2 linked regions of the Arabidopsis thaliana genome follow. The protein of the gene in region 2 interacts with the protein of the main gene of each other region in a pairwise test. Each region holds a gene or a part of one and is shown on either strand. Other genes may lie near its edges. The genes, in order: AT1G67860 and AT4G00780.

The links.
Region 1: the proteins of AT4G00780 (region 2) and AT1G67860 interact in a two-hybrid assay, tested with the Arabidopsis thaliana proteins (one large-scale study listed by BioGRID).

The regions. Positions count from the first base shown.
Region 1 is NC_003070.9:25,444,237-25,447,232, forward strand, and holds AT1G67860 (uncharacterized protein), read right to left. Parts: upstream 1,122-2,996; 5' UTR 941-1,121; coding exon 704-940; 3' UTR 516-703; downstream 1-515. Other genes in the region: AT1G67865 (uncharacterized protein), read right to left, coding at 2,224-2,451.
Region 2 is NC_003075.7:332,751-337,240, reverse strand, and holds AT4G00780 (TRAF-like family protein), read right to left. Parts: upstream 2,669-4,490; 5' UTR 2,463-2,668; coding exon 2,438-2,462; intron 2,358-2,437; coding exon 2,228-2,357; intron 2,123-2,227; coding exon 1,977-2,122; intron 1,893-1,976; coding exon 1,610-1,892; intron 1,533-1,609; coding exon 1,366-1,532; intron 1,270-1,365; coding exon 1,121-1,269; 3' UTR 763-1,120; downstream 1-762. Other genes in the region: SETH5 (transducin family protein / WD-40 repeat family protein), read left to right, coding at 1-127; TRM9 (DUF4378 domain protein), read right to left, coding at 4,191-4,490.

The sequences.
Region 1 (2,996 bases), on a different chromosome or scaffold from region 2:
TGTATTTTTTTAAAAAAATTACTGATATTACATACTTTTTGGTGTTATGTTTTCGAATTTTAACATATATTAATTTTATTGAGCAATGTGAGAGATAATATATTTAGTGTATATAAGAGGAAGACAACTAAATAACCAGTTGTTGTGAAAACCTATATAGTTGTGATCCACATGAAAATTCCAATACAAGTCTACGCACAAACCCATCTTTTCTAGTTAACGTAATTAGTTTTCTTTGTTCCTTAACTCACTTGTACTTATGTTATTTTAACAAGTAGATTCATGTAATGAACATTAAAGCATGTAACTTGAGGGTTTTTTTCCCTTGTCTTCATCGTGAAACAACATATCTTAATCCAATCATTTTCGTAAATAGTCTTTTCGTTTTCTCTTTCTATATATATAGTTCAATGAGATATAATATACTTCCTAAATATTCATTTCAAATTTTGTCGATAAATATATATTAAAGTCAATTTATATACCGATCTAATATATATTTCTTATGTAATATGATAAATGATTTATTAACTTAAACAAGAACGCTGACAAAAAAAAAAAAAAACTTAAACAAGAACATTTATTTTCATTAAAAGTCCGTCACACAAATACATGATACATCTTACACATTTATTATATGGGGAGTACATAATCGTTACTTTCTTATTTGAACCGTCAGAATATTTGGGTAGTCTAGAGTCCTCTACTCCCTGTCTTTCTGGCGGCGACGGCGGCCGTTCTCCTTAGCCTTCACTGCTGCTGCACCGCCGTTACGGCTAAGGTTGGTCGGGAGCTTCTTTTTGTGCTCCTCGCAGTCGGTACGAGTGCAGCTCTGGTAACTATCGGGGCATATTCCGATCCCTCTGGCGAACCCATCCACCGTTCCAATAATCGCTCCGGCAATCCCTCCGACAATCCCTCCAATAAGCGTATCAAGCATTTTTATATATTAATTCTGTTGTTTTTCTTTGATATGAATAAGAGCTTACAATCTTTCAGATGTTTGTATATATTTATACAATTCTCGTAGTGTTCACTTAAGTTTGTTTGTTATGGCAATTATTCGTCATATGATATCCATGATATGATAAGAATCTTATTCTTTTTTTTTTACCACCACCATACGTAAAATTGAATAGACATGTTTGTTCTTATTCCGTTCGTCTTAAAAAATTCAACGATCACAAAAATTCGTGAAGTAGATGGAAAGAAAGTGGAAAACAAGATAACTATGGACATACACGACCCGTCTTACTTGTCACTCAAATGGTCCTTCAATCGCTATGATGGAAATTGCATCTAATGCTTGCAAAGTTTGAAGACTCTCCAAGTGGAAGTGGACTTAAAGTTTCCCCTTGTTGAAGATTCAGGTCGTTGTTCTAGGCCAGAAAATAAAGCCTTATAAAAGTGTAATAATCTAACTATTCAACTTAGACTCCATAACGCTGTAAATTGCAAGAAAACATTTCTATTAGTATTAAGTTCAAGAATTAGTCTAGACTTTGGATTTAGGAAGACTCTGATTATTGGAAAAAAAAAAAACATTGCTTGTGTAAGGTTCGTTTGATTTTTGAGATAAAAGTGTAGACAACTCTATCAATGACATTCATGGAATTCTTCAAGAAATTCGACAGCTTCAAGGTTGTTTCCGTTCTATCTCCTTTAGTTATATTTCTCGTCTTTCCAATTCAAAAGGCAGACGCTGTCGCCAAATATGCTATCTGTGTTTGTGTTTCCCTCAAGAACATTGCATAACTGAAAAGGCTAATCGAATCAACAAAAAATCCTATGATCCGTCTAATTTAGTAAATGAATTACTTGTTTGAATCAAATCTATGAGCTTAAAGTTTTGGTCGATAAATGCAAAATAAATTATCTAATTATTTAGATGAACCAGAAACATTAAAACGACATATCCTACTGCACTACGTAACTTATAAATTCATTAGGGTTTTCGTTACACCATAACGTTACTTTTCAAACTTAATTGTGTGCAAATAAATTCAATCTTTTCACGTGTGGAAATAACTGTTAATATACATCACTTTTATTAAACACACTCCTTTTATTAATCATAAAGTTCATAAAATTAAACAAGAAGACTTTTCATTAAAAGTCTCCTATATTTTTGGTAAGATACTGAAACATGTCCATCTTATACATACATCGTATACATTTATTATTTTGGATACATAATCATTACTGGGTGTGGTCAGGAGTCCTTTACTCCCTGTCTTTCTGGCGGCGGCCGCCGGAGTTCTCGGATGCCTTCACTGCACCGCCATTACCATTGCCGTAGTTTCCCGGACTCGTCATATTGTTGTTCTCGAAGCGACCGGTGCTCTGATAATTATTGGGCCATATCCCGACCCCTTTGGCAAACCCATCGACCGTTCCAAGAATCCCTCCGGTAATCCCTCCGGCAACCCCAATAATAAGCTTATCAAGCATTTTTCTTTATATTTATCTACTTGTGTTAGTTTTCTTTGATATGGATAAGTGTTTTAATCTTTCAGATGTTTTCTATATATAGAAAAAATTTCTTGTATATAGTTCCCTTTTTTATGATCTGAATCTTATTCTCTTAGTACCATCACTACCGAAAGTTGAATAGATATGTTTGTTCTAATTCCGTTCGTCGTTTTTAATAATGATCACATGGGAAAGATCCAAACTAAGGAGGTTTCTGTCTACGGACACGTTTTCTTTAAAAAATCAGACCCTATAGACCCTCAAAAATAGATGTTGTATGTGTATCAACTAATGTTTAGTCCAAAAAGGCATGTTTTGACAGCAATACTAGTAACGAACATTAGAAAAGATGTGTGGATAAGTTTAGTGTAAGGCCCATCTCCTTCGTGGAATGGTCTCTTCAATCGTTATGATGGAAATTGCATCTAATGCTTGCAAAGTTTGAAGAGTCTCTCTTAACCAAGTGATAGCGGATTCTCATTGTTGGTCTAGTCCATGAAAAGAATTTCCTTAAACGTGGAATT
Region 2 (4,490 bases):
GCTCTCGGGTTTTACCCCGGGAGAGAGTAGCGGTAAAGACACAAAACCTGTAAAAACCGGACAGGGTAAGAAGCCGAAAACAAAAGGATCGATATTTGGGTCAACATTTGGTAAATCTTTTCTTTAATAGGCCAAGAGTTGGTAATTGGGATTATGATTAGGACCCTAAGACCATCTCCAATGTAAAGATGTCTCAACGAGTTTAGAACCATCAACAATTAATGTTGTATATACTATATATACACAAATATACTACTATTTATTCATCAACAACCAGTTTGAGTTCCCATGGTAAAGCTTTAGTTTACAATATTGACTACTATTTAGATAATTAACTAAATGCTGAACCAGAATGTATCCGCCAGCACCTACTAAGCGTTCCGTCAGCACCACCACTTGTGCTCTGTACTCTGAAAGGTGAAAAAAGATTGGTCGAGATTATTATATGGTTTGTAACTAGGAAAATTAGTAACTTTATTAACTTGATGTATAGTACCAAAAGTAATAAAACTAGTTATATAACCAATGTTCAAAAAGTTCACTAATATAGTTGGTCCCCTCAAGACAAGATTCTTTGATTTGATGCCGTCAAGAATCTTATATTATATAGCTAGTCTTTGATGTATTCTCAGCATAAATTATTCAATCAATTTGGGATAAGATTCCTGATAAACATAAAGTGTGTGAATCAGATCTCAAGGTCCAACATGGAATTAGAATAAAGGTCTTTTTTCTTTAATCTGATGCTTGCTTGACAAGGAATTGTTTGTTTTTTCTTCTTCTTATCTTTTTGATCCATCGAAGAGATCATGTGACGACAATTTCATCCTCTTACTTTTATAGCTTGGATTTGTTGATTTTCATCTGCAGTTTTTACCCTCAAGACAGATTTGTTTAAAAACTAATTGCAAGTCTGACTTTGATGACAAAAGTGAAACTTGGAAGCAAACTGTATTATTTATACGAACGACAAAAAAGAGAAATCTGACTTTGGCTAAGACTAGGTCAATGTAGTTCCACCTCCAAGTCTCAGTAGGTACATTCTCCAACATTTTATTCAATACATTATAACATTTCTTGTTATTTTTAGCTCACAATAAGACTTATTACAGCCTAGAAGCTAACAGTAATAAGTGGTAGAAACGACTTCAAACTCAACTCCCACATAAAGCTTATCCTTTACCAAATAAGGTTCATTTAGTTTCCCCAGAGGCATGAAATCCGCAAAGCCACTTTGGTCCGAAGGTTCTGCATCAAACCAGCTCAAACCTACAAAAATAAAAGATTACTACTAGTATTTTACCATCACAAGACTAAATTTCCAAAACAAATTCCTCCTAATAAAGATGGATCCTATATATATACCTGATTCCTCAACATGATTCCAGCTAACTTGATCCAATACCCGCAGCTTGAACTTGGCGTAAGTTTTTGTCATTGGTGCATTGTTGACAAACCCTTCTGCTGATAGATACACAGAAAATGATTTGTCTTTTTCATCCATATACCCTCTTGGATGAACTTCAAGTCTCCTATATATTGTGATGCATTTTCATTAGTATATTGTTGTGTCTTTTTAAAGAAGTCGTTGGAATCAATATATATTTACCATTTCCTGGTTCCAACGACAAATTCATTAGACTGATGAGCCTTTCCAGGGTTGAAGGACGAGAACTTGCTCATCATCCAAGTGACTTTGTGGTTAAGAGGCTTCTCTATTAAGCTAAAACACTCTGCTGTTCCGGGATTAGCAGGTTCAATCCCATGAAACTTGACACCAAACATACAACAATCTCCAATAAGGAAACCTTTTCTCTCAAGATCAGCAAGAGATATGAACCTTAAAAACCCCTCACTAGCTGGTTCTGGATTTATATCAAACTCATCTCGTCCTGCTCATATAACAACACATCAACATCAAACACACAGATATATATGATTCAAGGAGAGTGAGAGAGAAAGAGAAAGAGAGAAACCATGGGTGTGCCATTTTCGCTCTAGTTGACTGACGACTAGGAGCTCATATGTAGGCATATCATTTACCGGAACTTGATTCACTAAGAACATGGAGACATGAGTCCCCTTAGCATTCTTATGCCCATTTGGGTACACAGAGAGTTTCCTGTTACCATAACAAGCCAAGAGAACGATATATTGAGGTTAATGATCATCTACTGTTTCTTTGTTTTCTTTTGTATGTCAATAAGAAGATCAAAAAGCTTCACACCATTTGTGACCAGCGAGATCGAAAACAGAGGATTCGACCTTTTCGATTCCATGCTTTTTGAGTAAAGAGAAGTTGTCTATCTTGAACAAGTGAGATGTTGTGTGACGTATTTTGAACAGCCTCACCATTTCTGTGAGGAAGAGAAAATTATTATAAGAACTTGTATAAAGACTAAAGAGATAAGACACAAAATTATGTTTATTATTTAACCTTCAATGGGGATTGGTCGCGACATTGTAAGAAGCTACAAATGATATCTTCTTAAGTGGAGGAGACTTATACAAATCTTTTTTGAAGATGTAAGTCTATTTATAGACAGACAAGAGTTTATCTATTTATTCATTGGGATCCCATGTTTTTGTTGATGTCTCTGTTTTGGCTCCAACATTTATCGAATCGAACAAAAACTTCAAACGTGGATTACACGCTACAGTAACAGAGAGATTCGAGATTGATAAGCATTTATATACATCACAAGTTTTGGGTATATATTCACGTTCGTAACATCGAACTAAATTCTAAACTCATCTCAAACCAAAGTAGAAAGGGAAATCTACTTTAACATTTTTTCTTTAAACTTGACCCGGAGACCCAAAACCCGTCTAACTTCAGAGCTGGTGTGAGTCTTCAAGTCATATGGGTCCTGAGGTCTCTCCCCAAAAGTTAAGTATCTTATCTACTAATCTCTCACTGTTCTCTGAGTCATTCCGGAGGAAATTCGTATCTACTATACATTTAGTACCGAATTGATGTATATTCAGTATTGGATAGTTAAACTTGTTCCTTAAGAAAAAAAGAAATCGAGTTCATGGACTGAGATTTGCAAACGAGGTCTTATCATATCTTCTTGTAAAATACCCGGGTTCTGTTCTCAAATAATTTCAGGTATCAGGTATTACATGAACCGAAATTGATATCCGTGAGTATTTTTTATTACCCGAACATATATATACATATGAGGACATATATACTGATAACTTGAGTTTGTGAATTGTTTAATGATTGGATTATGGAACAAGTTAAAAACAAGGTTTATTTCTTGTTTTTTATTATTGTAATAAAGGAAAACTTGTTATAATTTTATGGATAGTTTTATATATGTTTGGGTATATCTGGACAAGGTTTTGGTAAATAATATTGAAACCCAAAATAATTTTGGTTATTTATTGGGTTCTTCAACCTATACCCGAAGAGAACCTATAGCTTAAATAATACGTATAATCGAACCAGTCTTAAACTTCTAAACCGAACCCGAAAGACTCGATCCAAACCCGACCCGAATACCCAAATTTCCTCACCTTAGACTAAAACAAATGGACTCCTCCCTTATCAAAAGAAAAAGAAAAACAATTGGGCTCCTTGACTCTAAAAAACACAATGGGCTTCGTGAGATAATATAATGAGTCCATTAGTCATCTATAAATTCAGTGACTAGCGAAAAACATGAGAAACATATCGGAAGCTTCTTCACCAACCTGGAAAGAGACCACCGGTAACGTCTCCAACTTATTTCCCTCTTCTTTCCATTTTTTTTTCAATTTACTTCTTCTTCTTCTTCTCCAGTTTCTTCTATCGGTTTATTTTTCAATTCCATCTTCATTGTTTCGCAGACCCATAGATAGGCTTTGATTTAGGGATTTTAATTTCAATGGCTGCGATCGCGAATCCACGCTTGCTGCTTAATTATTCCTGCGAATGACATTTTCTTAAGTTTAACCTTTTTATTTTCTGTTATGTTGTTTGCTCGTTTCGAATGAGGTCACTTTTTAACTCGTTCATGGATTTAGCTTCTAAAAATTGATCTTTTTTTGCAGAAATATGAATTAGGCATATATATATATATGGTTTTAGAGGTCAATATACATTGTATTATTCGTTTGCTTCATTCTTACAAAAGTAGAGCTAAAAAAACCTGAGCTTTTAAGTCAAAGCCTTATTCAAAAATGTTTTTGCTTTCTAATTTCTAAAGCTTAAGCATTGATGTTACTGTTTTGTGATGTTCAGGTGGACTGGAATCAGTTTTGGTAGAGAGCGTTGTTAAAGTTTCGTCCATTAACAGGCTGAAGAGTTCTTCCTCAATCTGTGTAACCACCACTTCGTGCTCCTCCTCTATCTGTTTCTCATTCCAGTCTCGTCTTTCGATTTCTCTAGCACATGCTTGTCTCCTCTGCTCACTTGTTCCGCGTTCAAGCTCTGATTCTCTCTTTCCCTGCAACCATCCTTTTGCCTCGCATACCAATTGGTTCTCAAAGTGTTGAGTTTC